Notamacropus eugenii: one gene and its partner. The protein of the gene in region 2 interacts with the protein of the main gene of each other region in a pairwise test. Links are inferred from orthologs where the notes say so. Each region holds a gene or a part of one and is shown on either strand. Other genes may lie near its edges. The genes, in order: RCBTB2 and FARS2.

The links.
Region 1: the proteins of FARS2 (region 2) and RCBTB2 interact in binary tests that used the Homo sapiens proteins (3 or more experiments, as listed by UniProt). The two-hybrid records come from large-scale screens. The link is inferred for Notamacropus eugenii from reciprocal best matches to the Homo sapiens genes FARS2 and RCBTB2.

The regions. Positions count from the first base shown.
Region 1 is NC_092876.1:107,952,085-107,967,890, reverse strand, and holds the start of RCBTB2 (RCC1 and BTB domain-containing protein 2), read right to left. Parts: upstream 7,918-15,806; 5' UTR 7,865-7,917; intron 7,747-7,864; exon of another isoform or gene 7,594-7,746; intron 7,410-7,593; exon of another isoform or gene 7,298-7,409; intron 1-7,297.
Region 2 is NC_092875.1:175,229,875-175,245,813, forward strand, and holds the start of FARS2 (phenylalanine--tRNA ligase, mitochondrial), read left to right. Parts: upstream 1-8,359; 5' UTR 8,360-8,690; intron 8,691-8,719; exon of another isoform or gene 8,720-9,293; intron 9,294-15,939. Other genes in the region: LYRM4 (LYR motif-containing protein 4), read right to left, coding at 6,784-6,869. UniProt on the Homo sapiens protein: Is responsible for the charging of tRNA(Phe) with phenylalanine in mitochondrial translation.

The DNA of each region.
Region 1 (15,806 bases), on a different chromosome or scaffold from region 2:
CTTTTTCTCTCCTCCTTTGTTCTCCTTTTCCTTTTCTTTCTCCTTCTCTTTCCCTCTATCTCCTTCCCTCCTTGTCTCTCCTTCCCCACCTCTCACACATATTTAATCTTTCCCTACCAACTGGATCCTTCCCAGCTGCCTACCAACATGCCCATGCTCCCTCATCCTGAGAAAAACTAAAAACAAAAACATCTCACTGGGTCAGCCAAACCCATTATCATTATATATCTCTTCTCCTCTTCAAGTCTAAAACCCCTTGAGAAGACCTTCTACAATAGGTGCTTCCACTCTCCTCCATCTTCCTCTATATCCTTTGCAATGTCTTCCAACCTTGTCATTCCACTGAAACTGCCCTCTTCCAAGTAACTGCTGATCTCGTAATTGCCAAATCTAAGGGGCTTTTCTTTTTCTTGATCGTCATCCTTCTTGACTTCTCTGCAGTCTCTCTCACTGTCAATTACTTCTCCTCCCTGATACTCCCCCTTCTTTAGATTTTCATGGTCCTGCTCTTTCCTGGTTCTCCTCTTACCACTCTGACAATTCCTTCTCAATTTCCTTTGCAGGTATTCTTTCAAGTCATAACCACTAGGAGCAGGTATTCCCCAAGCCTGGGCCCTGGGACTTCTCTTTTACTTCTAGATTACCTCTCTTGGCAATTCCATTGGCTCTCCTCGATTCAACTCTCACTGCTATACAAATGATTCCCATATCTATATATCTAACCTTGATCTCCCTCCTGGGCTCCACTCTCATTATCACTAATGTCCTCTTGGAAATTTCAAACTGGATGTCCCCTAAGCATTTCAAACTCAACATATCCAAAACAGAATTCATAATCTTTCTCCTAAAACTCTCCTTCTCAACTTTCCTATTACTATTGATGGCACCACCATTACTCCAGTCAAGCAGGGCCACAACCTCAGTGTCATCCTCAACTCCCCACTTGCACTCACCCCACATATTCAATCTACTATCAATTCTTGTCAGTTTTACCTCTCTCACACAGCCATCACCTGGTACAGGCCCTCATCACCTCTCACCTGGACTATTGCAATAGCCTTCTGATTTTCTCACTGTCAAGTCTCTCCACACACTAATCCATCATTGATTCAGGTATCAAAGTGATTTTCTAAAACGAAGGTCTAACCAAATCACCTTCCCGTGCCTCCCACACACAATACATTTCAGAGGCATCCTGTTACCTCCAGGATCAAATATAAAAAAATCCTTTTTTTCTTACTTAAAGCCCTTCACAACCTGGTTCCTTCCTGCCTTTGTGGTCTTACATTTCACTCCCATCCAAATATCCTAAGATTGATAGGTAGGCATAGATAAATTGACAGATTTTTAACAGGGTGGGGAAGGGGGAAAGAGGCCTGGAAAAAAGGCCAGGCCAGGCCAGGCCACATGTAAAGCAAAAAAAGGGGTGAGGAGGGGTTGAGGAGTGGGCAGAGAAGTGGAGTGGAGGCCTGGGTCCCTGAAGGCTAAGGCAAAAGCTGAGTTAGGAGAGCACAGGGACCTAGGGAGGAGTGGAGTCCAGGTTACCATTTGGGAGGAGGTAGAGGCAATGATCCAAGTAGTAGAAGCTGTATGGTTGGAGCTGAGACAATGGTCTCGTTGCTGCTCTTTATCACCCAGGACATTCCATCTTTTGACTCAATACATTTGCCCTTATGCCTGTAACACTGTCCTTCTTTACCTATGACTTCTAGCTTCCCTGGCTGACTTCAAGATTCCTTCAGGCTCAACTCCCACCATATGCAGGATTCCCCATTCTCTTCCACTGCTAGTCCTTTCCCTGTAAGATTATCTTCCATCTATACTATGTATATCTTGTATGTACATGGCGGCATGCTGTCTCTCCGTTATAATGTGAGGTCCCTGACACCATGTTTTTGCTTTTCTTTGTATCCCTAGTACTTAGCACAATGCCTAGCACTAAAAGTTAAGTGACTTGCCTAGGCTCTCACACCCAGAAAGGGTCAGTGGTGAGACTTGAATCAAGATCTGCCTGGCTTTAAGACCAGCTTCACTAGGGCACGCTGTCTCTCAAGTGTAGGAAGAGATGCTATTATTATGCCCATTTTCCCGAGAAGTGAGCTAAGGCTCAGAGAATTAAGGTTACTCAGTTAGCAATGAGTGGATTGAACCAGGTTTTGAACCCAGGTTTTCTGCACTACAAATCCAGCACTCTACTATAACAAAGGTGTCGAACACTCCTGAGTTAGGGCCAAACCAAATGAAAATGTAACTGGGAAATGCTTAATAAAATAAATAAAAATACAATAAATACAATGTTGCATTTTAAAACTAAGTTTTAAAAGAGAGCCTAGGCAAGTCACTTAATCTTTTAGTACTAGGCACTATGCTAAGTACCAGGGATACAAAGGGAAGCAAAAACATGGTGTCAGGGACCTCACATTACAATGAAGAGAAAACACGCCACCATGTACATACAGGATATATATGGTATATGTGGAAGATAATCTTACAGGGAGGGGACTAGCAGTGGAAGATAATGGGGAATCCTGCATATGGTGGGAGTTGAGCTTGAAGGAATCTTGAAAGCAGTCTGCAGAGATCCTTATGTTTTAATAGCCCCTGTTTCTACTTGAGTTTGACATGAATGTATTACACTATGTTGCCTTTCAAGTTATGCAGCACGAACAAGACTACTAATTAATTATACAGTCTTTCCTGACATAGACATAAAACCATCAGCAATACCATCCTCAGATTCTTTGATTATGTGACCTTAGGCAAATCACTGACCTTCTCAGTGATCCTGGCAATTCTACAAGACTATAAAGTTGCACAGAAAGTGCTCACACACCAACTGAGCGAATTTCTTCCCTTTCAAGTTCCCTATGCCAATGAAATCACAGATCCAGTCTCTGTCCCTAAAAGAAAATGAGATGATATGCAACCAAACTTTAAAACACTCAACCAGCCTGAAAGAACATAGAATGTGAGTTCTATTTTGAAATCTCCCAAGTCCTTTCAGAAGATACAGAATTTGGAGAGGAGTTCTAAGTATAAGGAAAACAGAAATATTGTAGGATCCAGGGAAAGGGTGCAACAATAACCTAATAGGTAAGTCCCCCTCCAGAAAGAAGGGCAATCTATGACAAGGCACTCTGTTCAAGAGAAAAACTGAATGTAGTGAGAAAAGCAGACTTAATAACCTTTGGCAGCCTCTAGTGAGATGAGAAAGTCAAAGTTGGCCTTCAGAGATAAACTATATAAGCAAGATATTCAGAACAGCTCGAGATTGTGATAAGGTAGGGGAAAGCCAGGGGAGAGTGTAACCTCTGGGAACTAAGACAAGCAAATGAGGAGTAGAGGAGGTGTTAAGATTTTAACCAACAACAGGAAGAGTCATCCTTCATTGGAATGAGGGGAGGGCTGCCAGAAAGTCCAATGCGTTTTGGAATCTCCTGACTGTCCGGATGCCAGATGGGCAACATGATTCTCTTCCAGGGAATGTATCCCATTAGCTACAGACAATAAACAGAAAGAGTAAAGTTAACACCAGTTCACCTCTATCTCATTGTAATCTTGGGGAGAGAAATAACTGATACACCAAGGTTGGGAGGGATTCGCATACCTTTCTGAGATAGTAGAGGCTCCTATGGGATAACTCAGATACCAGGCTGAGATTTGCCAAAGGGCAGCAGCAAAATGATTTATTCCCTGGGGAAGACTGGCATAGTTGGCTTCTAGCCTGTCAGTCATAGTAGAACAAGGGCTTCATGGAATCTCAGTACCTCTCCAGGGTGCTGGGATTGTTTAGTCCACAAAACAACCTGTCTGACCGTGCTCAGACAGTGATTCCCCTAACAGGAACCACATGCCCCCAGGTCTGGAGGTCTTTCCTTTTTCAAATCTCCTTTGTGTTTAGGGAATACTGACTGGGACACCTAACTTCAGCCAGGACAGCATTAATATTTACAATATTAGTAATGTTCTCAAATGATACAGATCTTTGCTGAATAACACATATTAATTCATCGCTAAATACTGACTGAGCACCTGCTATATGCAGGGTAGCTTTTGCTCATATTCATTAGATTAGTGAAATATAAAATCTATTTATTTCAATATGACATATTTGTGTATGCATAAATACAGTGTTATAATATAATCACAACCTAGACTTCTTTCTCAAATACTAAGCACTAGGATTTTTTTTACCATCAAACATCTTCCATAAGATGTTCTCGTAAGATGACCCTTTAGGTCAGAATAGTAAGATTAAAGACATGTTAGAGATATATCCCAACACTGAATTAACACAGAAAAATACTATTATACTCTCAATCTCCTGGACACAGATTTTCACATTAATGGGACAGGCTTAGCCATGTGAACTAGACACCTGCTCTCTCTGACTAATGAATGCTAACAGGATCATGGCAGTCTTACAGTAAAGGAAACTGAATCTCTCTTGCAAAAATGGCAAGATAACTACTCTTCTGAAGGCAATCTCATGTGGCAGTCTATTTTCAGCCTCTAAAACTAACCCTTGATGTCAGCAACTTTGCTAACTCCCTTCCTGGTGTCAAATCTCCCCTTTCCTGGATCATTTTATGATTTGTAATCATGAAACTCCAGTAAAACCTGGTGTTTATTTTTTAAACAATATCTCTGGGGCCATTTTAATTTACTTTTAGACAAGTGATGAAGTAAAAGCAAAAGACCATGATATCCTGAGGGATGTAAACAAAAAGGTTCATGTCTTCTAATCTGATTACTATAGACTAATAGGTTTTTGACATTTGAGAAGCCCTAATGATGCGACAAATACAATTTACTGCCCCAATTTTTCATTCTATTAGAATCTTCCAATCTAAGCATTCTTAATTAAGGATTTAATGAGACTTGGTACACAACTTCTCTGGTTCTATGTAAAGATGAGACTAAGAGAGCTTATTAAATGAAATTTACAAATTTCAGTAAAACACCAATATCAAGCCAAGTAATGATCAGTTCTTTCTCTACTGAATTTCAAATCAAATGCAGTTTTTCTCCCTCTTATATATAAATCTCACCAATCATCCAAGCCTTTCTAATATCCAAAATATACTTTTAAAAGTTTAGCAACTTGTTTCTAATAGTTTATTCTGAGAACTTATACAGGATTGGAGATTTAAAACTGGAAGAGACTCTAGAGGTAATCTAGTCTAACCCACTCATTTTTTCAAATGAAGAAACTGAGTCTATGGGAGGTTAAGTGACTTTCAAAGGTCATACTAGTCTTAAGTGGTAAAGCCTGAGACCTGAACCCAGGTCCATTTGACTCCAGATGCTGTGTGCTCTTTTTTCTTTTCAAATATGCCACCCCTGTGCTCTGTAATTGTTGTTGTGCTTATCCTTCATTCTCGAAGAGGAACATGACATCAAGATGATGACATGACTTGTACCTGATTTTGATTTGAGTGAGGGAGAGCTGTGCAAGTTCACCAACCTCACCTTCTTCTCCTAAACCATCTGGGTCGAGAGGCCTGATATTCATCAGGATGACTGGACGTAGCCCAGGATGCAGGTTAAGGTCTTATCACATTCTCACTTTGAGTGAGATACACCCATTTAATGAATAGGCTTCTTTAAGTATTTAAGGGATGGCCTCTTTAATTAAAAAAAAAAAATTAGTTAACTTAAGGGATGGCCCCTTTAATAAAAAAAAAAATTAGTTAACTTAAGGGATGGCCCCTTTAATTAAAAAAAAAAATCTACCTGGGAGGGGAAGACCCTCAGCGTTCCTGGGTAAAAAAGAAACAATTACTATTTAGTAGTTATCAAGTGGTGCAGTGGATAGAGGACTGGGCTTGGAAATAGGAAGACTATCCTCCTGAGTTCAAATCCAGTCTTAGGCACTTACCAGCTGTGTGACTCTGAGCAAGTCACTTAACCCTGTTAGCCTCAGTTTCCTTACCTATAAAATGAGCTGGAGAAGGAAATGGTAAACCGTTGTGTTGTTACCAATTAATTAACTGGTTATCTGGTCCTTTCCAGTATGAGCCACAGCTGAATTATTAAACCCTAAATGGCATGAGCTCTAGTACCTGAAACTCCATGCTATGGATGGCAGTGACAGTGGCTACAGTATGCCTGGTTAAGCCCTTCTCTGAGCTTCCATCCCCCTCCAGGAAAAAATTATTGAAGCATGAGAACATTTTCCATGAATTACAAGGCAGGGCATTTAGTTTTAAAAACCACTTCCCATGTTGCTCAGTAACTTCAGTTCACATCTTCCTCCCAATGTGCAAAATCTTTTCTTTTTCCCTTGGGATGTTAAGCTTAAATTATTACTTTAAACATTTTCACTTCAAATGTTTCACAAAACATTTTTACTTCAAATGTTTTCACAAATGTTCGGAGGGCACTTACACATTGCCACCTACGAAACTGACATCACATAGCTGAAACTCAAGACTTTACAACTAGGGACGCATGCATGTAACTTTCATTCCTTCTCAAGAAGCTTAACTTCTGTATTAGAATATTATACTACATTGTACTATATAGAGTGGAATTGAATTATACCATTCCAACATATGCCATTCTATACCGTTCTCTACCCTACTCAGAATAAAGTAAAGGGTATTCCGCTGTACCACTGACCTAATATGAGAGGCACTCTATAAAACAAATAATTAACACTTACATACATTATTCTGCTCTGACAAAGTATAATAATTAAGAGGTGTAATAAAACTACATGTAATAAAAGTGTAATGTACCTTTTATAATATTACATGTAAAATTATATGTAATAAAATTGGAGTTTTAAGAAAAAAATCTTCTCTATTACTAAAGTTAACTTTGCATTACAGTGTTGTTCCAAAATAGTTCATAGTTTCAAAATTGCATTCCAACTGGAATAGCATTCTAACTTTTAATGAAATTTTGCTACAACAAAAGCCACAGTTCAATCATTTACTGCACCCATTCCTAAAAGTGGCCAGGCCATGGGAAAGTTTGCAGCTTTGCAGTTCCACACTTCCAGGGCTGAGGGGAATATCAGAAAACATTTTACATTCTTTCTCAGTCTGAGAGAAGAAATTAGGTTTTATCTCCGCGTACTTCCAAACCAGCTTTTCCTAGCTTGCTGGTACTATTTCCCTAATGTCAAGGGATGCCAGGACCAAAGGCAGAAGTATTTCAAAAGCGCAGCAAACAGCAAAGACAGCACGAGGGTACAAGTTCTTAGCAGACGACGTGCAAACAAGGAGGGGAGGCGGGGTGGGGGTGGAGGAGAAATGCTGCGGGGGGAGGGGGAAACGCAGGCACTGACCTGAACTTGAACAGAGCTGGAGGTTGGCGAAAGGAAAACATAGGGACATGGCAGGGGGTGGGTAGAAGGTAGGCGGGGGAGGGGCGGAACCCACGTCAATCTCCCTCTTCTTAGACGTTAAGAAGGCCCGTAAGCCAATCCCGTCCCAGATCAGCCCAGGCCCCGCCCCTCTGGGGAAGCGGTGGAAGATCAAGGAGATTCCCGGCGTCCGCCCCCACGTCCCTCCCCGCCCCGCCCTCATCCCGGTCCCTGGAGCTTCAGGGCGATTGGCACCGCAGTGACGCGCGTGCGCGCGCGCCCCCTCCCGCGAGCGGGCACGTGCACGCCGGCGGGAACGATTCCCTGCCCGCCTGGCCGCTTTTAGTGTGGACCAGGCGGGAGACACGGGGCCAGGGCGGTCGCGGCGGAGCGTCCCGTCCTTCTCTGCGATGCCGCCACCGCTGCCTCAGGTCGGCGGGAGCTGGGCCCGCGTCCCCGAGGGAAGGGTAGAGGGTAGGGGCAGCCCCCCCTTCCGTAAAGGAGCCCTCATCAGCCTCCACGCCCGCCCCACCCCCGCGCCTCTCCTACCTTCCCGGTGCCCGAGACGCGTCCCGTTCTGCCCGGAGTTGGCGCCTCCCCTTGAACTTGCCCCGGCTCCCGGCGGGAGGGGCGCCTCGGATTCCCGCGGAGGGGAGGGGGGACGGGCCTCCTGCCGCGACGGCCGAGAAGCCTCCCCACCCCCGCCTCTCCTCTCCCCTCCCCCTCCCCTGGCCCCTCCCCCTCGGCCGCTTCTCGGCCCGGGCTCGGGAGAGAAAGGGGCCTGCCCCGCGATTGGTCCGAGTGCCCCGAGGCCCCCACCCCGCCGTAGGAAAGTGTCGGTCCTCGGAGGTCTGAGTCCACATCCGCCGTCCAGGGGCGGGGGGGGCGCGGGGGAGCTGGAGGACTTTCCCCAGACTCCTTCCCGCCTCCTCTCCTCCCCTCGTCGGGATCGCTGGCGCCCTCTTCTTCCTCTCAGAACCGCGGTCCTTGCCGCCGGCCTTGCCTCCCCCCGCGGGGCCGGAGCGCCCAGCCAGCCCGCGTCCACCGTGCCGGGCCTCGGGGGAAGAGCTGGGCACTGCCAGGGCCGGCAGTGTGCGCCTTGGACCTTGTTAGTGTTAGGCGTTACTACTGCCGCTAGTCATTAAATTCTTAATAAGAATTTGTAAAATGCTTTGTTCTATGAAGTGGACGTGTGGCGGGGGGGTTTAGATAGGATTGAAAGAACCGTAGCCCAAGGTCAGAAGACAAGCCAGAGAATTGAGACTGCAATCCTCTAGGTCCGGGGTCAGGAAGACTTCTCTTCTGAGTGACCCTGGGCAAGTCACTTCACCCTGTTTGCCTCAGTTTCCTCCTCTGTAAAATGAGCTGGAGAAGGAAATGGCCAGTCTCTGTGCCCAGAAATCCCCAAATGAACTCTCGAGCAGTCTGTTTATGAATATATACATTGTTACCACGGGGGAGAGGAGAGAACACAGTTTACATTTTAGCACAGCACGGTACATTGCCATAACAGGAGAGGCCCGCTGAAACTTTGAGCTTAGTTTGGAAAGTTGTTACATAGTCATTAAGTGTTAGGTGTGTAGTAAGCAGAGTTACTTCCAAAGTTCCTGAAACAATCGAGAAACTGGAAGGAATAAATGAAGACTTTAAAAGGAAAACTCAAAAACTTTGATATTGTATCCCTAGCAATGGTAAGAAGAAGGCTATCTCACTGATAACAGCCCAGTTTGGGCAGGTTTAAACCTTTAAATGGTAATTGTTTAGGAGTTTGAAGTTTATTATACTTTGTATCTTCTATCCTTGATTTTACTGCTTGGGTCCTTGTACCACAACTCACTCCCACCCCTATGCCTAAATTAGGAAGGATTTTTTTTTAAACCAGCTGTGATTTCACTGGTATAAGAGGATTTCTTGTAAAAGAATGGAATTATGAGGCTACAGTACCAAAGTTTCTGGCCTTTTGTTTTTTCAAGCTTTTCCTGTTCCTTCCAGTCCTCCAATGCTTTAGATGTATCTCTACACACCTAACAGGCCTGCAGCAACTTTCAGAACTACGCTAAAAGTGTAAGTGAGCCTCTACTTTTTAAAGAGGCACTGTACTGGGGTAATATATAACATATGTTACCCCCTTCCATGTCCTTCATAGTAGCTACATATACATGTGTTAGATTTCAGAGCACGTGCTCTGAAACTTAAATCTTAGCTCTAGAGTTTCCTAGGACACTGGTAGGTAAAGTGACTTCCTCAGGGTCACAGGTCCAGAGGAAGGACTCAAATCCAGGTCTCTCTGACTGCAAGTCCAACTCCATTACCCCACACAGGAGTTATCATGATTAATTATTTGACTTTGTAGCACAAATCTGGCTTATGTGAATTTGGATTATAAACCACTCGACCAAGACTGAGTTACCAGGATAAATTAGTTAGTCAGGGATTTATAACTGATAAAGTTTTTGGAAGTTATCTAGTCTAGCCCCCACTTTTTAAATATAAGCAAACTGGGGCCAGAGAAGTCTGACTTCCACAAGATTTCTCAGCAGTAAGTAACTGGTTGGAATTCAAACTCAGGTCCTTTGATTCCAAGTCCACTTCCCTTTTCATTGCATTTATACCTCTCATATGTCAATCCCACTATTGGCCATCTTTCCTCACACTAGTTTCAATCAACTGTCCTCTCTCTCTCTCTCTCTCTCTCTCTCTCTCTCTCTCTCTCTCTCTCTCTCTCTCTCCTCCCCTCCCCCCATGGAGGTTAACATAAATTCTTTTCCAGCTTTTGTTCTAGACCATCTGTGTTGAAAGATTTTTGTGTTCCTACTGTTCCTCTTTCAGAATTTAGTTCAAACTCTTTTGCCTGGTATTCAAGACCCTTCACATTTTGACCTCCTTACCCTTTCAGTCCTTATCTCAAAACATTCCCCTCTACAAACTCTGTGAACTCCTAGACTACTTTATTCCTGGAAAATGCTTGCCTGTGTCCTATCTCCATGCTTTTGTATTGTTCCCTATGCCTGGAAAGGAAGTGTGGCATGTTGGAGCACTGGGTTTGGGGTCAGAACCTACATTTTAATTCTAGCTGAGCTGCTTACTCACAAGTCATTTCCCCTTTCTGGTTTTTAGGTTTCCTTATCTGTAAAATGACTGGATTGGACTAGATGAGGTCCCTTCTGATTCTAAATCCTAGAGTTCTGTAAATATCATCTCTTTTCATATATTGAATTCCTACACATCCTTTAAACTGTAGTTCAAATGCCAGCTCTTCCATGAATACTTCTCATACTCCTGTCAGTTAAAACCTTATCTTGCCCTCTTCAGCCTTGAGCTCTTATTCTGGTCATCCTTCCTCACTTATCCCTCTTAGAATTTCTTGTTTTCTTCAGAACTATGCTTAAGTACCATCTTCTGCATGAGGCTTCCTCATTCCCACAGCTGCCTAAGACCTTTCTTCCCAAAACATTTATCTTGCATTTGTGTGTGTAAGTATACATGTATATATGTGTACACACACACACACATATGTCTCCTTCCAAGAGACAGCTCCTGGAGGGCAAAAACTTTCATTTTTCTTGTATTCTCAGTGTTAAGCTCAGGTCCTTGAACAATGGTATTTGATAAATTCCTTTTGCTTATCTAAACTGTATATTCTGAAATGCCTGAGTCTTTTGTATCCAGAAGGCACTTGATGATTGCTGAATGAATACACACACACACACACACACACACACACACACACACACACACATACACACACACACACCCCACTTTGTAGGAGAAATAAGGATACTTTGCAACTGAAAAACAACTGAACAGGATAGGGATCTAAAACAAAAATCCTGGGATTTTTCAATAAAAATAAATAAAAATGTTTTAAAATTTAAAGCATTTTCATAACCTTTCATATTCGGGACCTTGTTAGACTTTTCTGTGTTCTCCTTACACAACAAACACCAACTACATAGGAAACTTAGTATGTGTATGTAGCACTACCAGGTAGCAGTAGTGACCTGGAAGAGAGGCACATTTTGACAGTGGTAATGAAATATTTTCTAGCAGGGTAAATGTCTCATGCAACAAAAGGATGCCTTAAAAGAAATGACCTCATTCTACAGGTAGCCATATGATTAATGCCAAACGTTGTAAATTTAACTAGCCATATACATTTTTATAATGTAAACAAATACAGTTTATTTTATTTACATAATGCAAATAAAAGTAATGGATCATTGTCATTTTATTCTGCTTGAAAATAATGGTTTAAGGGTAATAAGGCACACATAGCACTTTGCATACTTTAAAGCAATGAGTGTAAACTATTTTTACTTTAAAAATCTCCATTAAAATGAGGCATTTGGCAAATTTTATTAAGATGCTATTTTTATTTCCATTGCTTGCTGCTCTTTGTAATAGAGTAGGAAGGGATTTCACAAATCATCCAATACAGATAACGAAACTGAGGTACAGAGAAGTTAACTGATTTGTGTAGGTCAATCAGCTGATCAGGTTTCCTGATTGCTAGTCCAGTGTTCTTTCCATGGGGACAGCTAAGTGATGAAGAGTATATAACGTTGGACCTGGAGTGAAAAAGACCTAAATTCATATCCTGCCTAGACATTAGCTTCTTGACCCTGGGCAAGTCAACCCCTGCCTACTTCATTTTCCTTATCTGTAAAATGGGATAATAATAGCACCTACTTTCTAAGACTGTTGTGAGAATAAATGATGAAAATGTTTCTAAATGGCTTTGCAATCTTAAAGTACTATGTAAAATGTTAATTAGTAATAGTAGTAGTATTATGCCTTACTACCATTTTAAGACAGTAAGAGAGATGTCATAAAGCAGTACTTACTTGATACAGATAGTTCTGTCATACTGGTCTGTTGTCCTTCGTTCTCCAAGAGGACCAAAATGACATCACTATGATAAAATCACGTTTCAATGTGTCTGAGTGTAGCTGATCAGACTAATACAAGCTCAGAATCCCCTACCACAGATTGGGCACAATCTGTGGCTTTGTGAACCTTTGAGGTGGCTACTCTAAAGTTGCACATCCTGCATTTCCTTTGAGCTGTTTCAGTTCTGCTTTGCTCATAGAGCACAGCACATTCTCTGATGTGGGCACTCTGTGCTAAGCGGTCCTGTGCCAGTGTCTCCCATGTCACACAATCAGTTCCAAAGTTCTTGAGAGTGTCCTTGTATCGCTTCTTTTGACCACTACATGATCATTTGCCCTGTGTGAGTTCTTCATAAAATAGTCTTTTCAGCAAGCATACATTTTGCATTCAAACAACGTGGTCAGCCCATCAGAGTTGCCCTCTCTGAAGCGTAGTTTGCGTGCTTGGCCATTTAGTTTGAGCAAGGTTTCAGTGTCTACCTTATCCTGCCAGGTGATCTTCAGAATCTTCCTAAGACAATTCAAATGGAAGCAGTTCAGTTTCCTGGCATGGTTCTGGTAGACCAGGCTTCACAGGCATACAACAATGAGGTCAGCACAACAGCTCTGTAGATCTTCAGTTTGATAGTCAGTCTTAATACCTCTTCTCTCCCATACTTTCCTTAGGAACCTTCCAGACACTGAGCTAGCTCTGGCAATGCATGTGTCAACCTCATTTTCAACGTGTACATCCCTAGAAAGTATACTGCCAAGGTAAGTGAACTTAACCACAGCTTTCAAAACTTCTCCATTTACTGTAACCAATTGTACAGCACTGCATTTGCTCATCTGGGTCAGAACATTCACAAACACCAAGACTGGTTTGATGAAAATGATGTGAAAATTCAGAAGCTACTAAATGAAAAACGAGAACTCCACAGGATTTACCAGCAGGATAGTTCGTCCGTCTTTAAGAAGACAGCATTTAATTCCATTAAAAGTAAAGTAAAAGCAAAGCTTAGAGAGATGCAGGATTCCTGGCTTAGTAAGAAGGCAGATGAAATTCAGTCTTATTCCGATAGTAGCAATCCAAAGTGCTTTTGTGATTCCCTGAAAGCTATTTATGGACTGAAAACCTATGATGCTTCACAGCTACTCAGTGCTGATGGAACCACGTTGATTAGTGATAAGGACATGATCCTAGAAAGATGGGCTGAACATTTCCATAGTGTTCTCCACAGACCATCATTAATCAATGCTGAGGCCAATGACCATTTATCTCAGATTGAAGTCAATCCCTCCCTAGATGAACCTCCAACTGAAGAAGAGGTTTTGAATGCCATTAGGTTCCTTTCATGTGGTAAAGCACCTGGTGCTGACTCTTTTCCAGCTGAGATTTGCAAGGCGGGGGTCAATTGCTCATATAAAAGCTGACTGAAATTTTCCAGGTTATATCCCCCAAGAGTTCAAGGATGCCTCCATTGTCCATCTCAGTAAAGGTAAAGGAAATAGATTGTCCTGCGACAATCACAATAGGGTCTCTCTCTTAGTCATTGCTGGCAAGATTCTTGCCAGAGTCCTCCTTAATAGACTAATCCTTCACCTGGAAGATGGTCATCTACTTGAGAGCCAGTGTGGCTTCAGAAAGGGCCAAGCAACAGTTGATATGATGTTTGCTGCCTGACAACTCCAGGAGGAAAACAGAGGTCTGTACACAATCTTTGTAGATCTGACTAAGGCCTTTGATACTGTTAATTGTGAGGGCTTATGGAAAATTATGTCAAAATTTAGTTGCCTGGAGAAGTTCATCAGTATTGTATGTCAATTTTATGACAGCATACTTGCCCAGGTTTTAGTTAATAGACAATGCTCTTGTGCCTTCCCAGTCACCAGTGGAGTGAAACAAGGCTGTGTGCATGCTTTCATGCTTTTTTTTCTTTTTAGCATGATGCTTTTGTCCATGTTGTCAAATGATTTCAGTGAGGATGAACATGGCATCGAGGTCAGCTACCATACTGATGGTAAATTTTTCAATTTGAAAAGACTACATGCCGCAACTAAAATGGAGGGAGTGTTGGTGCATGCTTTTCTGTTTGCAGATGATTGTGCACTCAATGCAGCCTCTGAAGCTGAGATGCAACCAAGTATGGATTATTCTCTAATGCCTGTACTAATTTTGGTCTAACAACACAAGAAAATACACATGCTCCACCAGCCACCACCACCCCATCCATATGTGGAACCATCAGTTATAGTAAATCGAGTTCTATTATATTACTACATTCTTAAAATTCAATTTTTCTTATTTAGTCTCTATTAAAAGTTTACTCTTAACACAGTGTTCCAAAAGTGTCAGCAATTTTCAAACACTGTGGCTTGAAACTTCAGTAAGACTTTTGGGACACCCTTAATTATAATAGATGGAATCTTCTAGATAATTCAGAACCTTGACCTCTTAAATGCCTTCATCCTGAACTATACATACATACATACATACATACATACATACATATACATATACATATACATATACATATATATATATATATTTTGCTTTTGTACTTACCTTCACAATGAAGTTTTTAAACAGTTTCCTCTACTTGATGCTCTGCAACGGATGTTGGTACTACGTAAGCTGCAGTTTTCTTTACGATCATTTGTGTTGCTTCTCTTTCTGATTACATTAAGGCAAAATAACCAAAAGGCCTCATGAAGTTATGTTTCTTGTTACCTTTGACTGCATGATGAAATAGTCTCGTATCAGCTCTTTGATTGTCTTCTCCCTGCGAAAGACATTAATAAGTCACAGCAAAATGGAAACCACAAAGATGTCAATGTAGATAGAATTAGGGTTTTTCGGTAGTGACAACTCAGGCTCACTGGACAAAATTCATACACTGAAAGTATCAATGTTAAATTATCATAACAATGATAGCATTTACGTAGTACTTTAAGGTTTTTCACAGTGCCTTAACCTATGCTATCTCGTTTGTAGAAAGTCTGAACATTGATTCTTAGCTCCAGCCTCTTTTTACCACTGCCAATGCTGAAGTAAAAAGGAGCTCCACAAATCCAAGTGTAATTTTGTATGTATTTTATAGAGTACAACCCATCCATAACTTATCCTGTGTCCTATAACTCTCACAGATAAGGATGGAGAGGATGCTCAACGTATTAGAGACCTTCCTATTGGTCTCTTGATATTATGTGAATAATACAAGCTGTTCATTCCTCATTTTCACTACATTGCCTCCTTTTCCATACATCTTTCTACATATCCTTTAAGCTGAACCTCCCGCAATTCTTTCTTCATAGTATGTTACCTATTTCTCTGGCCCACTGTGTATTTCTCTGTTGTCTTCTGGGTGACTCACAACTTTTACTCTTTGAGAACTCCAGTGACTATACATTATCACCAGAAGAAAATTGATGTTAAAAAGATGGACTTTTAGTTTGAGGACTCAGCTCACTCATCATCCATCCTTCAGTATCTAAAAATGACATATACACTAGTGGACCATCCAATTGTATAGAAAATTTTGGACAATAGACATTATATTTTTCCTGGTAGAGATTTAAGCTAAAGTCTCCTAAGTAAGTACGGATGTCATTCAGTGGGCTGT
Region 2 (15,939 bases):
ATAGAATTATTTAGCTAGGTTTCCAGGGTCAGGGTCAGCTCTCCCTTGAATTTACAGCTAGCTTCCTTCTCTGTTGCCAAGAGTCATGTTCCTTGAAGCTGCTTCTTTCTTTAAATCACCACTTCTCTGTGTTCACCTCTCTCTAGTCAGTATGTGTTTCTGTTTCCAACTAAATGTAGGGTCTCCTCTTGGTGGAACACCTCTACTTTAAAGTGGTTGGCTGATGGATGGGGCAGAGAGGGAGAAGAGAGTAATCCCTTCCTCCTTGACTCCTACTGCACTATCAAAGGTGAAGAACAATTCTTTTTCAGGGGCTAGGTTCCTGTCTAACTGCTGACCCGGGTTACAACTGGCTCCCAAATTGGAGATCTCAGCCCTCTGAGGATCATTCAATTGTGGACCATCTTTGAGCAATTAATGTTCAGACTCCCTTTCTAACTCAGTCAAGGAAAACTCCTTTACACTTTATGAAGGAATGACAGGGTATTAACATGTCTTAGCACTTTATTAACATATTACCTCATTTTCTGAAACTGAATCCGAACCTGAAATTAAATAGCTTCCATTTGAATTGTCTTAGGAAGATTCTGCAGAGCACCTGGCAGGATAAGGTACCAGACTATGAGGTCCTTACTGAACTAAACTGCCAAGCATTCAAACTCTGCTTCAGAGAGCACAACGCTGGTGGGCTGGCCACATTGTTCAAATGTAAAACATAAGCTTGTCAAAAAGACTATTTTATGGAGAACTCACACAGGGCAAGTTTTCACATAGTGATCAGAAGAAGCAATACAAGGACACTGTAAAGGTCTCTCTTAAGAACTTGGAATTGATGTGTGACATGGGAGAACACTGGCACAAAACTACCCAACACGGCATGCCCACATCAGAGAAGGTGCTATACTCTATAAGCAAAGCACAACAGAAACAGCTCAAAGGAAACCCAGGATGAGAAAACTTGGAGAATCCACCCCAAATGTTCACATGGACTATCTGTGCCTGACCTGTGGTAGAGCATTTTAAGCTTGTATTGTTCTGATCAGCCACAGCTGACAAATTAAAACCTGACTCTAGCATAGTCATGTCATTTTGGTCCTCTCTGAGAACAAAGGACAACAACCAACCAACTAACTAACCAACTTCATTTTCTACTTTCTGCCCATTACTATCTTTGACTTCATCAAGGGAGAAGGGCAGAATTGGTCAAATAGTTAGAGATTAAATAACTCCCACTACAATTAACTGTTTCAAACTTTTTTCATATTCCTTAAGTGTTGAATTTATCCTTCCCTCATCTCCCTACTCCCTGACCCTCAGCAGATGACCTTGCCTCTTACTATACTGAGATTAAAGCCACTTGATTGAAATACTCTGATTGTTCTTTCCCACCTATGGATCACACATTCTTCCCTGCTTCAATATTTCTCTCAACCTAACCTCTCTTCCTTGCCTCCTGACTCACTGGAAAAGGAGGACTTCCTTCTCTTCCCCCAACGCTAACACTACAGTCAATGTTCTTTACCCCATTCCTTTCATCATCCTCCAGAGCTTTGCTCTCTCTCTCTCTCTCTCCCTCTTGCATCATTAATCTTTCTCTCTTCATTGGCTCTTCTTTTTTTGCTTAACTGTCACTCAATCAATCAGTCAAAGCCAGGTACTATGCTAGGCTCTGGGGACTGGGAAAGATATAAAAAGAATGAATTCACACAAATACAAAAGTGGGCAGATACAAGGTACTTTGAGGGATGGAACACTAGTAGTTGATGGAGTCATGAAAAACTTCATACAGAAAGTGGTGCTTGAGTTGAGGTTTAAAGGAAAAATTATTTCATGAATGGGGTATACAGTCTCATAGGAAGACATCTCAGAAATGGTAAATGGAATGTCATGTAGAAGGGACAGAGGAATAGTAAGATCACAGAATGGAGAGAAAAATGTACAAAGAGCCTGGAAAGATAGGTTGGAGTCAGGTTATACCTAATACCCTAAAAAGCAAAACAAGCCTTCTCTAGATACTGCTGTCCTAGATTCATGGGTTGCCAGAGCTGGAAGAGTACTTACAAGTTCATTGAGTTGAGGATCATAGAGGTTAAAGAATTTGCCCAAGTTCACACAGATAGTGACAGAGCTGGGAAGGTAGCCTCTTTCATTTCACTGACAAAAATGTTTTCATTTTTCTCTACAAAAGACTTCCTATTAACTTTCCCACTCTTATGGAGGTTACCAAATATCCTTTCTATGACCAAGTTGATAACCTTAGAATCATCCTTGACTTTTCTTGATGCTTTATGCTACACATGCAATCGGTTGTCAAATACTGTACCTCTCCTACCACTCTCCTCTCCACTAGCTGGCATCTTCTCCTCACATATTGCTCTGGACTACTGCAAATATCTCCTAACTCTAATCTAATTCAATGTTCTTCCCTTTTTAATCCATCCCCCATATTGCTGCCAAAGGGAGATATTCTTTTTTCGCCCACTTAATAGCAGTTTATTGTTTTCCAATTACATGTAAAGATGGTATTCAACATTCACTTTTATAAGCTTTTGAGTTCTAACTTTTTTTCTCCCTGTTCTCTCCTCCCCTCCAAGATGGCAAGCAATCTGATAAAGGCTAAACATGTACAATCATATTAAACATGTTTCCACATTAATCATGTTGTGAAAGAATCACAACAAAAGGGAAAAACCACCAGAAAGAAAAAAGAAAAACAAACAAAAGAAAACAATGTGCTTCAATCTGCATTCAGACTCCACAGTTCTTTCTCTGAATTGGTTAGCATTTTCCATGAGTCTTTTGGAATTGTCTTAGAACTATATTGCCGAGAAGAACGAAGTCTTTCAAAGTTGGTCATCACACAAAGTTGCAGTTACTGTATACACTGTTTTTCTGATTCTACTCACTTCACTTAGCATCAGTTTATTAAGTCTTTCCAGGTTTTTCTGAAGTTGGCCTGCTCATCAATTCTTATAGCACAACAGTATTCCATTACATTCATATACCACAATTAGTTCATCCATTCCTCAACTGACGGACATCCCCTCAATTTCCAATTCTTTGCCACCACAGAAAATGCTGCTATAAATATTTTTGCATATGTAGGTCCTTTTCCTTTTTTGATGATCTTTTTGGGGATACAGACTTAGTTGTTGTATTGCTGGATCAAAAGGTATGCACATTTTTATAGCCCTTTGGGTAAAGTGAAGTACTCTTAAAGCTCAAGTTGGATCCTATCATTTTCCTGCTTCAAAAAGTACCTGCATTTCCCTCTTGCCGGGAGGATAAGTACAAACTCTTCTGGCACTTGACATACTTCACAATTGGTCTTCAGCCTACTGTTCCAGACTTATTCAAAGCGATTCCCTTTGACATACTTATGTTCCAGCCAAACTGGTTTATTCAGGGCTCCCTTTATATGGCATTCCATCTCCAGGCTTTGTACAGGCTGCCTCCTAGGCCTGGAATGAATCCCTTCTTCATCTTTGCTTCTTAGAATTCCTTAGCTTTGTTAGAGCACAATGGAAGGGCCATCTACTACATGTGGCCTTCTCTAATTCTTGATGTTAATGTTCTTCTACCATCTGAAAATATCTATCTATCTAGAATGGGGGAACATAGTAGGCACTTAATAAATGCTTATTAACTGAAGCTACAGAATTGGCCTAGAACAACTTGTTAGGACATATTAAATTCTTTTCTGTTTACATATCTACAATGAGCTGTGGTCAAATGTTAATTTGTTTAAAAATGAATTATCTTTACGCCTAAATTTGCTTCTCCTTACTTCATGGGGTGTGTGCGTGTGTGTGTGAGAGAATACCTCCAATGTCCTGATTACCTGTGTTTGAAATGAACCTCATCTCCAGTTTCTAATACATTAGCAATTCCTTTCCATTTTCTCTTTGCAGTACCCCTTGAACCTAACCTTTTTCTATTCATATTGCTACAACCCTAGTTCCAGTCTTCCCTGCCTAGAGTACTATCAGAACTTTCTAAAGAGTTTTCTTACCTTTACTCTTTTTATTCAATACATCCTTTAATTTGCTGCCCTACTAATTTTTTTTCCTGCATAAATCTGGTTGTGCCACACTTCTGCTAAAAAAAAACCTCAGGTGGCTCCCTAGTGCCTCTTAAGTGAAGTTCAAATTCTGCAGTGTAACAACAATGAAACTAGATAACTAGCTTTTGTACCGCACTTTAAGATTTGTAAAATGATTTCCCAATATTCTCACTTTTTTCTTTGTAGCCTTGGGAGGTAGATGCTATTATTATCCTCACTTTCCAAATGAAGAAACTGAGGCAGAGAGCGGTTAAGTGACTTACCTGGTGTCACATTACTAGTGTCTGAGGCTGAATTTGATTTCCTTTTTTGATGACTCAAGGTCTAGAATTCCATCTAACGTTTTCCCAAAGTAGGGTTTTTTGTTTTTTTGTTTTTGTTTTTGTTTTGGCAGAACTGGGATTCAAATTCAAATTTCTTTGCTCTAATTGTAGTGTTTTTTTATACTATACCATGAGGACTCTTGTGGCTAATAATTTTTACCCTAATCTGGGGAAGAATTCAAGTATAGTCTCTAACAATGTCTCAGTCTTCTTCCTATTACAAGTACAGAAAATACCGTTTCCTTGTAACCAGATGGATCTGAGTTAAGTTCTTAGAGGTCAGGAGCACAGACCAGGATGATTCTACCAATTTGCATGCAAGAGTGAGGTATGGGATGTTGGGGTAGGGCTTAGCACACAAGAGGAGGCAATAAGGTTTAGCACCCTCCATTCCAGTCATTCTTTCCTCTAAGATTGTTTTACTGCAGAGGGGTCAAACTCTTAGGGTCACCTGATGTCCTGCAAGATTCCCCAAGTGCTGCCAGAACTAGATCAAAATATAATTGGAAAATGTTTTAAAATATACAAAAATACTACATAATGGTAATTTGTGGCTTTTTATTAAATATGCAACCTGCAGGGATCCATTTCTATTTGAACTTGACACCATACTCCTATGATTTTGCTCATGCCATTTCCTATTACTGAAATATTATCCATGTCCCTCTTTGCCTACTGCATTCTTACTATCTTGAAAAGCCCACCTCAAATCCTACCTCCTCCACTGAGCCTTCAAAGATCTCTCCCAGTGGTAATGACCTTTTCATTGCACCTCAGAACACTGTGTTTTGCATTTGGTAATATACTTCTTGCACATCGCAGTTATCTGTGTTTTTGTATTATCCTTTTCCTAGACTGGAATTTCCTTAAGGGTATTCTCCAAGTCCTACAACAAATAAACCTGCATCTTTCCCTGACATGGTACACAGTAGGTATTTTAATGCTTTCTGAATGAATGAATGCTAGAAGTTACCTTTTACCTTTACACAATGCCTAAATCCTCACTACAACATTCTGCCCAGTGATCGTCCCCCTGCTGCTTGAACACTACCCGTCATAGAAGAACCCGCTACTTCCTGTGAGGGCCTACTTAATTTTTTGTCTAAAATGATTAGGAACCTTTTCTTTACACTAAACTGAAGTTTGCCATTATATCTATGCAATGAAATTACTTCTACCCTCTGGAACCACAAATTACAACCTTCAAAATGTCTGACAGTATCTATCATATCATCAGGTTAAATATCCCCAGTTACTTCAAATAATTTTCTATTAAGATGGTTGAGTCTCATCATCATCCTGGTATACCTATTTCTGTATGAGAGACAACTTAAGTTCTTTTCTAAGAGTTCAGTTCAGAGTTGAATACAATACTCCAAATGTGGTATGAATAGTCTGCTTCTCACTTCCCTCCACTTTTGTTAATGAAACTCTGAAGCACATTAGCTGGTTTGAAAGCTGAGATACCTGAATTTCTAGCATGTCAGAATCATATTACAGGGGGAAAAATCTCCCAAACCATATGGTAGCCAAAACTTGGACTAAGACAGAAAGCTCTATAACAAGTCACTTGGGAGACTACCTCCTCTCTCCCTAGGTGAAGTCCCACATGCAACAGGTTATGCATTAATTTCTTCCCAGGAGCTCTGAAAGCCTGAGCTTTGGCCAAGGGCACAGGAGACCAGAAGGGTCAAAGAGGAGGGGAACACAGTTCAGTCCCTTGCACCTTCCCTTCCTCCTCCTCCTCCTCTTTTTTTCCTCTTTCCTGTTACAATACTTATTTTTGGTTTTTTAAGCAAAATGTCCATCCCTCCTTTAAAGAGAAACTTGTCCTTCCGTTTACACCATTAAGAAGTGTCCCGCACACCTTATTACCGTAAATGACCTCCTGGAGTTGGAGAGCAAAGGAGGTGACACGTGCCCACCACTCTGCCAGTCTTGGGGGGGGGGTGCTAGCCATTACCACTCACTATTATTACTATGAATACGTATCACTAGAACCTCAGTAATCGTGCAGAGAGGGCTTTGTGTCGGCCCGGACCGTCTCCCAGCACACTCCCTGCTGAGGAGCAGCGCACGGCCGGGCCGGGGGGCCGCCTCCCCCCGCAGTTAGACAACCGTATTATCACAGGGTCGGCTTTCTCCGTCACCCCATGTGTTCTGCTTCACGCCTTCCAGAGCTTCGTTCCGGGAAGGGATCCACAGGCTTCACAGGACACAGACCAGCAGGACAGCCGCCTCGCACACCCAGCCCCAGCCCCCCAGGTCCCCGCTCCGGGTAGCCCTCCGGAGCCGGCGTGGGTTCGCGCTGCCCTCCCAGGGGCTGTGGGGGAAGCTGGACGCTCCCAGGCCGCGCGTGCCCCCTCCCCACCTCGGCCCCGGCCCGCCGAGGGTCACCTGTAATTGTAGGAGGTGAACTTGCCGCTCTCTCTCAGCATCACCCGGTACAGATCTAACACTTGTGCCCGACTGGAGGCTGCCATCTTGGGAGGGGGTGGGGCAGAAAACAAACCGGTCCTTTCCCCGGAGGCCCCGCCTGATCCGGAGGGGCGGACTCGAATAAAAACCGGGGCCGAGGAGGCGCGAGCTCCCCTCGGCTCCCGGGCAGGGCCCGCGGGCTGGGCCCGGAGCTCGACACTCCGCTCTCCCCGCTTCTCAGGCGCCAGCCAGGACCCTCCGAGGGCTCTAGAGCTCGAGAAGTTTTGGAAAAAGAAAACAGGCAGCTCCGCGGGCAGCTAAGCGGGGGAGGCGTGGGAGACCAGGAAAGTCAAAACATCGGCGGGCATTCGCAGGTCCCGCCGGGGGCTGGCGGGCAGTTCAGCTGGGAACAAGTTAGGACTGTTTGGCCGGGGCGCCTGCCCTCTCCCTCCGCACCACCCCCTGGTTCTTATTTGCTGTTTGGTCCATTTCAAGTGTACTGATGATGCAGGGCCAGAGAAAATAGGACCGAACCACGGGGTGCGGGGCTAGGGCCGCTGCTCCGTCTGCAGGGTTCAGGCAGGAGAGCAACGGCTTTTCCAGCTTCTAGAGCCGGGAAGAGGAGTTCAGACAGGATGGGTGTGTGTGGGGGTGTAGGAGGCAGAAGTAGGCCCAAGTAAAGTAGGAGGTGCATCACCTTGCTGCAGGCTTCCCTAACTCCTAGTCCCGTTTTCTTAGGTCTTTTCAGATCCCGTCCCTGGGTCTGAATCTGTAGTATGCCCCTGGTGGGACGCAGTTCCTATCACTGGGGTTGAAGATGAAATAGACAGTTCTAATCTCACTACCTGTAGGACATTTGGCAAGCCTGGAGAAAACTCAGAGCAGATAAGATTGATGTTTTCAAGTATCCGAAAGTCTGTCAGATGGAAAAGGGATTACACTTACTTTGTTTTGCCCTACAAGGCAGAATGAGGTGGAAAGCTGCAGAAAGAAAATTCAGAAAATCCCTCCTTCCCTTCCCTCCTCCTTTCCTTTTTTCCTTCGTTCCTTCCTTCTTTCCTTTCTCCTTCCCTTCTTACCTCCTTCCTTCTTCTCTTTCTTTCTTCTTTCCTCCCTACTTCCTTCCTCCCTCCCTCCCTTTCTTCCTCCCCCCTTCCTTTCTTCTTTCTTTCCTCCCTACTTCCTCCCTCCCTCCCCCTTCCTTTCCTCTTTCCTTCCTTCATAATGAGGATTATCCAAAGTGGAATGGTAGAACTCTCCTCTCATAGGAGAGCCTGAGCAATTTAGCGAGGTGGTTGCCTTTTCAGTGAGATTTGGATCTCAGAGACCCGCTCCTACTCAGAATCCTGAGTTATTTCATGTCTTTGGGCTTCAATTGCATCACTTATCAAATGATAGGGCTGACCTGAACGACCTCTTTCAACCATAGATCTATGCTCCTGTGACACTAAGGACCCGTTTTGAAACTTGCCAGTCAGTTGCAACAGGCTGGCCAACCTCACATGCTCCTCTAGTCTGTGGGCTTTTAGCTAGCTAAAGCATTGCCTGTAGTTTTAATACATTCCTACCCAAAGCTGATTGCTCTTTGAGAGTTCAGAGCAGAAAAATGAAGCTCAGGGAGTAGAATGCTGGCAGTACAGGGAGTTGAGGGGTGCCTGGTGAAGCTGCTAGGCGAAGGCTCCTTTATTTATGTTCAGGCACTTTTCAGGACGACTTGTTTAGCGGCTTTTCAGAAAGGCCCCGCGTGAGTTTCAAGATGGCGGCGCCCAGAGTACACGAGAATTAGTTCTTCAGTCACTTCAAGTCCCTTTCCTGAGAGCGAATCTGTGCCCGAATCTCCAGTTGTTGACATTTCCAGCGTCTCCGCAGTTCTGGCAGAGTAGTTGGTGAGTGCGGAGCCGACCTTCTGGAAATGTTGGTGCGGGTTACTAGCGGGAGCTTGAAGTGGGACCTGGACTTTTCTGACCAGGCATTCCCCAGCGTGTGTTGGCGCTTAGCTGAGGAGTCTTGTCGCGTTCGTTTTGTGGGGGAAGTATCAGCAGTAAGATTGGCTTGCAGAAATTCAGCGCCTTAAAAAAAAAGTCTTTATTTTGTAGTTCAGGGAGTCTACGGGAAATTCAGGAACGAGGCAAGAAGTGCGGACGAGCGTTTTCTTGAGGCATTTAGGATGGACAGACCCTCCAGAAATCGCGTGACGCACATTCCTGCCCCTCTTGTCTTTGACTAGTGCCGTGGTACTAGCTTTCGACGCTGGGACGAAATTCTGTCTTTTCCTCCCTCCTGGGAGGCTGGCAGTTTGCAGAGCACTTCACCTGATTTTCAGTGTTACAGGAGTGAAACGTCGCACGACCAAGACTCGGAGGACTGCTTTTATACTCCAGCGCAGGAGGATACTTGTCCTTTCCTTTGTGCTATTCCCCACTCTTCCCCTCTCAGAATCGCATATCGGACACTCTCGGTTTGCTTTTTGAAGACAGTGTTCATGATTGGTATGCATCTTCTGTGTACACTATAGGTATTTTACCTCTTTTTTAAATAATCGATCCGTGTTTTCTGCCATACTTGATCCTTCCCAGTGAATGCCTTTGCACAGTATGTCAGTCTGTGTGGGTTAAGTGCTATAGGTTTGGTGGAATTCTTCATGCAACTTCTCTGTATCAGAACAGATTTTAGCTCGTGAGCTGCATTGATTTTCATGGTGAATTTGTCACGTGCTCATGGTGGTTGCAATATAAGACTGAATGTCAGTTTTTAGAAATCTATAAAAATATTAACTGTGTTTATATAACTCAGGGTGTAATAGTGGGGGGGAGATAAGCATTTTAATAGTGCTTGTTACTGCAGTTGATCCTCACAACCATCCTGATAGCTGACTGCTATTATTATCACCATTCTATGATTGAGGAAATTGATGCTGAGAAAGGGCAAGTGACTTGCTTAGGTTCACAAGCTAGTAAGTGCCTGACCCCAGGCCTAACTATTTACTGCCTGTCTTTCTCTGTGTCTCTATCTCTCTCTCTTCAGTATTTGTATTTTAGATAAAGTGCTCATATAAATCTCATCATCATGAATTGAGAGGTGGTTTTCCCCATTTATTGCCCTCTCCCTGTCTACACAGTTTTTGGCATAAGTCCTGATAGCCAAATTACATATCCAGTACTTTCCTGTTTTGTAACCAACATGTTCTTATTATGTCCATAATGTTTGAAAGACGCTATGCTAGGCCCTGGAGATAGAAATACAAAATGAAAAGCAGTCCCTGACCTCAAGGAGTTTATATTGTTCTTGAGATACCACATTTAAACTCAACAAAATTGTAGATAGAAAAAATCTGAAATTACAAATTTACACAAATGCTTCAGATTGATGTGGAACTGACTCTCTTGAGTTGTTAAGAGCTAAGTCAGCAGAGTATAAGCTCTGGGGTCTTTTACTAGGTTGAAAACATTTTGAGTATTGTCCCAGGTAAAGATTAAATTTATTGTCCAGAAACCACCTATTTAATGGAGAAGTTCATCACTACTAGATTGACCAAAAAATTATTGAATTCTTTGGTCATATTAAAGTATGAATAAAAGACAAATAAAAAAATTCCCCTCATTCTACTTCCACAGTGACATACTGTTAGATCAACCAAACCACATCAATACTGATATTCTTTTAGTAGATGAATCCTGAATATAAAATTAAGTTAGTTGTAAATTGAAGGGGACCTCACAAGTTCTCCTTGGAGAGACAAATTAAGGAACTGATAGATTTATTTGATCAGCTACCCAAAAGCAGCATAAAAAATAATTTCATGGGACACTTGGTATATCTTGTCTTGTAGTTCATGATGAATTTTAGCAAAAAGATTCTATGAAAATAATAACTGACGTCTATCTATTGCAATTAGATTTGAAGGACACTTTACAATATCTTGTTTGATCCTTACGATGACCCTGTGAAGTAGTGACTATTTCCTCATTTTGTAAATGAAAAAACTGAGACATAGAGAGGTTAAATGAGCCTCTTTCCCTTCAGTACCATTTCACATGATGTTTCATTAGCTCCTATGGTTTCTATTATTATCTCTCTGCAGTTGCCTGTCAGATCTACTTGTTCCAATACTGTCTCTCCAAACCTCCAGTTTTACATCTCCAACTGCATTTGCCATCTTGAACTAGATATCTTGTAGACATTTTTAAGTATATCCTAAGCTGAACTCATTTTCTTTCCCCTCAAACCTTCTTCCTGATGTCTATTACTATTGATAGTATCACCATCCTTCCAGTTACCTAGGCTTGAAACCCAGGTGTCATCCTCAGCTCTCACTCCACATATGCTTTTAGTGTTCAAGTTTTGTTCTTTATATTATTTAAAAAATATTTCTCATATTCGCCCCCTTCTCTTCCGTGACCTTGCCACAATCCTGCTGCAGGCCCTCATCACTTCATGCATAGACTATTGCAATAGTTTGCTGGCTGGTCTCTCTGTCCTCCAGTAAATCCTCCACTCATCAAATCAATCTTTCTAAAGTGCAGATTTATGTCACTCTGCTAGTTAGGGAATGCCAGTGATTACCTCTAACCTCCAGGATAAATAAAAAGTCCTCTGGTTTTTAAAGCCCTTTATTGCTTGACCCTTTCCTACCTTTCTTCTTGTACCTAACTCTCCTCTATGTATTCTGATCTAGTGATACTGGTCTCCTTATTTCTTCTTGGCATTTTCTCTGGTTGTTCCCCAGTTCTCTCCCTCTTCCTCTCTACATTGCAGATTCAAATAAGGGCCTACCTTGTGCAGGAAGCCTTATCCATTCATCCTTAGTTTTAGCTCCTTCCCTCTGAGGTGGACCCTGTTCATCTTGTATATAATTTTGTTTGTGTGCATGTTGTCTTTCCCAATAGACTTTGAACTCCTTGAGTACATGGATAATTTTCAGCCTTTTTTGTATGCTCATTAATTACTTCATTTATTCCTGGAACATAGTAGACGTGTAATAAATGCTTATTGATTGATTGACTGACATGTGTCTGATCACTCAACTGGATAAAAATATGTCTGAATTCAAAGCCAAATTTCCTGTGACTCCAAATCCAGCGATCTTTATGCCTTTTCCACTAAGTGTAATAATGACAGTAATAAATAATAGCTAACATTTATATAGCACTTATTATGTTCCAGGCATTGTTACACCTTACAAATATTATCTCATTTAATCCTGAAAACAGCCCTGAGAGATAGATGCTGTTATTATCATCCCCATTTTACAGTTGAGGAAACTAAGGCAAACAGACATTAAGTGATTCAGCCAAAGTCCCATGGCTAGTAATTGTTTGAGGTTGGATTTGAAGTCATGTCTCTCAAGATTCCAGAACCAATATTCTATCCATTACATCACCTACTACTGGCAGCTGTTGCAGAGGATAAAGAATTAGAAGAAATTCTGTGAAGCACTTGACAAGTTCCAGACAAGTCAAAACACTCATTAATAGTTGATGACTTCATTATGAAAGTGGACACAGGAAGGAATGGTGAAATGTGTGTTAAAACATGGTTTAGGCTAAAGAAATGAAAGAAACCAAAGGCTTGTGGACTGCTTTGAAGCCTTACACTTGACCATCATGAATATGTCCTTCCAAAAGATGTGTTGGAAATCATAGCTAAATGCATCATCACAAAAATTAAATTTCCTGTATTTTAACAGACAGGAAGTCTTCTAATTCCTTGTACCTGGTATTCCCTCTGATTGGTTTTGTATGTGCAAATAATTAACTATCCTCTCTGAGTAGCACCTGCCTAAAACTAGTTTATTGCAATCAGATAAGATTTACCAAAAGCTTCATCTGACAGACATTTAATGATAAAATTATAGCATAGATTATTTATTTAGACATTTATTGATTCAGCAAATTAAGCTGTTAATATAAATGATAAATGCGAGAAGATCTTTGTCCTGAATGAGTTTATAATTATCTTGCACAGTGCTTTGCCATACATAAGGGTTTAATGTTTGTTGAATTGGGGATACTTAAGTATTATTATGTTGCATTGTAATTAGGCATTAATAGAAAGCAACTCTCATCATTAGCCATTGGCTGGCAACCAGGTGATGACGTTTTTTTCCTCCCTAGAGTAGCTTATAAAGATTATTTATTAAGGTAGGGAGAAGTTGTCAGTCTACTTGAATCAATAGATATCCCACATCAGTGAAACTATAGTTATGTTTCACTGATGAATTAAGCACAAAACCCAATAAACAATCAGACTGTAGTTCTGTCTCAGTGTGAAACTTTATTCTAAATTAGTTTTACTCAGTCCAGACAGATACTTAGTTTTTCTCTTTTTATTTGGTTAATTCAAATCTCTAGTCACCATCACTTCTGACAGTTTTAAGGGAAGCTATGTTTCCTGTAATATTTTACTGAGCTAAGTCTTGAAGGAAGCCAGGGAAGGCAGAAGTTGGAGGAGAGGATGGAGAGCATTCCAGGCATGGGACATTGTCAACGAAAAGGCAAGGCTTTGAGAAAGTTGAATGGGGTATGAGTAAAAGCAAGAAGGTAAGTGTCACTGAATGGTGAAGTATGTGGAGGGGAGTAAAGTGTAAGAAAATTGGAAAGATAGGAAGGGGACAAGTTGTGAATGGCTTTAAAAGCCAAACAAGATTTCATATTTGAGTCTGGAAGTAAGAGGGAGGAGTTGTGGTGAGATGGAGATATTGTTTGGGTGTGATTCAGGAAGACGAGTTCAGATCCAGCCTAGAACACTTCCTGACTATGTGGCGAGTCACATAACCTCTGTCTGCCTCAGTTTCCTTACCTGTAATGGGGAGCATAGCACCTACCTCACAAGGTTGTTGTGAAAAGATCAAATGAGATAGTATTTATAAAGCACTTAGCCCAGTGTTTGGCACATAGCAGTTGCTTAATAAGTACTTGTTCCTTTACCTTCTCCAATTGGAATTTGATATGTAGGGGAGTGTGATGTGGTCTTACCTTCCCTTTTTTGTCTGTTTTGAGACTATGTCTCCTTCTGTTTCCCAGCCTTGAGGTGCAGTGGCCACTTATGGGCATGATCCCACTGTTGATTAACACTGAAACTTTGACTCTTTCTGACCTAGACTTCATTTTCCACTCAGGGGCGCATTGTATTGGTGCTGGACAGAGTCAAGACACCCAGTTTGCTGAGCCCATTGTAGCTCAGAACTGATCCAGCAACCTCAGCATCCTCTGTAGCTGAGATTACAAATTTTGTATTTGAACCTGCAGCTAATAGGGAGCCACTAGAGTTTCTTTGAAGTGTGTGTGTGTGTGTATGTGTGTGTGTGTGTGTGTGTGTGTGTGTGTGATGTATTCAGACCTGCATTTTAAAAAGGTTACTTTGGCTGTCTAGTGGAGAATAGACTGGAGTAGGGAGAGGCTTGAGGCAGAGACTGGCTTGATGTCCATTGCCACAATTCTTATAAAAAAGATGATGAGAACCTGCTGTAGCATGTTCACTGTGGATGGAAAGAAGAGGACATTTAGGAGACATGTTGTGGAAGGAGAAACAAAAGTTGGCAACAGATTGAATATGTGAGGTTGAATGTAAGAAGTAGAGGATGACAGCAAGGTTACTAGCCTGGGAAGATGGTGGCAAGAGCTCCTGGAAGGTCCTTGTGCTTTTTTGTGTATCCCTAGAGCTCTGCACAGTTCGAGGCATGTAGGAGACACTTAGTAAATGTTTATTGATCGATACCTAGTGCCAGTAAATAGGCAGGTTAGGGAAAGGGGACTTTTTTTGGGAAAGATGATGAATTCAGTTTTGGACGTGTTGAGTTTGAGATACAGGACAATCTGTTTAAGGTGTCCACTGATTGAGATGTTGGTGATTCAAGACGATGTCAGGAGAGAGGTTAGGGCTGAATAAATATCTTAGAATCATTTGTATAGAGGTAGTAAGTGATAGAACTAGGATTTGAATTCAGTTTCCCAATATCAAGTTTTTCCCTGGTACCAATAGCCTTCTTAAAGACAACACTTTGATTATGTGTTCCAGTTATGGTGAAAGCTCTGTTTGGCTGATCAAATGCAGAATGTAGGCTAGCTAACAAATTTTCAAATTATATTTTCAGAAAAATTTAGCTATTAACTATTGGTTAATGGTTGTTTAATAATTGCTCTATTGATTCCAAGTACTACTGAGTTGTAGTATTATTCCTCGGAATTGCAAAGTTTGTTAATTTTTATAAATCCATTAGTTGTTCAGTTTTTTCAGTTGTCTGACTCCTCAGTGATTCCATTTGGGTTTTTCTTGGCAAAGATACTGGAGTGATTATACCACTTCCTCTCTATCTTGTTTTATAGATGAGGAAACTGAGGCAAACAGGGTTAATTGACTTGCCTTGGGTCACACAGCTAATAAGTGTCAGAGGCCAGAGTTAAACTCAGGAAGAGTTTTCCCCACTCCTGGCCCAGCACCCTATACACTGTGTCACCTAGCTGCCCTTAATCTATTAGTATAATAGACCTTTAAGTCAAAGATGGTCTGTGAGTACTTCCTGCTTTTAAAAGGCATGTTACCCTAAGAGCAGTGGATTATTATGTAAATAATAAGCTGTCTAACCTGCTATTCACTGACTTTAAGCTGCCTGCCAAAACAATCTATAAAAATGCTTGTGTAGAATGAAGAGTGCTCATTATGATGTAATGAAGAAATAATTCTCTTCACATAATTAATGAATGGTTCTAAGTCTTTTGTGCATATTCTTTGTTTCTATTTCTCTTTTTTTGTTTTCTTTTCTAGGGCTATCTTTTCCATTTATGGTTGCTCCTATATGCCTTTCTGAGTTGGAAAGTTGATATAATTCAAATAAGACCTTGAATTTGACCTATTGTAGTCAGTTTGGGAGCGCAGTTAAATTTTAGACTTGGAGCCATGTTTATGTCTTGAATGCTGTGTATTCCTTGTGTAGCTATAAAGCATTTAAATGACCTTTGTAGCATTTTATTGGGTAACTTGGTTATATTTCAGCATCTATACTTGAATTCTAATTTAGTCATATTTTTAATGGAGTTCTCTCTTATTTGCACAGCTTTTGTAAATGAGTGTTGTATCGTTTTTATTGGATAACTTAGTTTTATTTCATGCATGTGTGTTTGAATTTTAATGTAATAG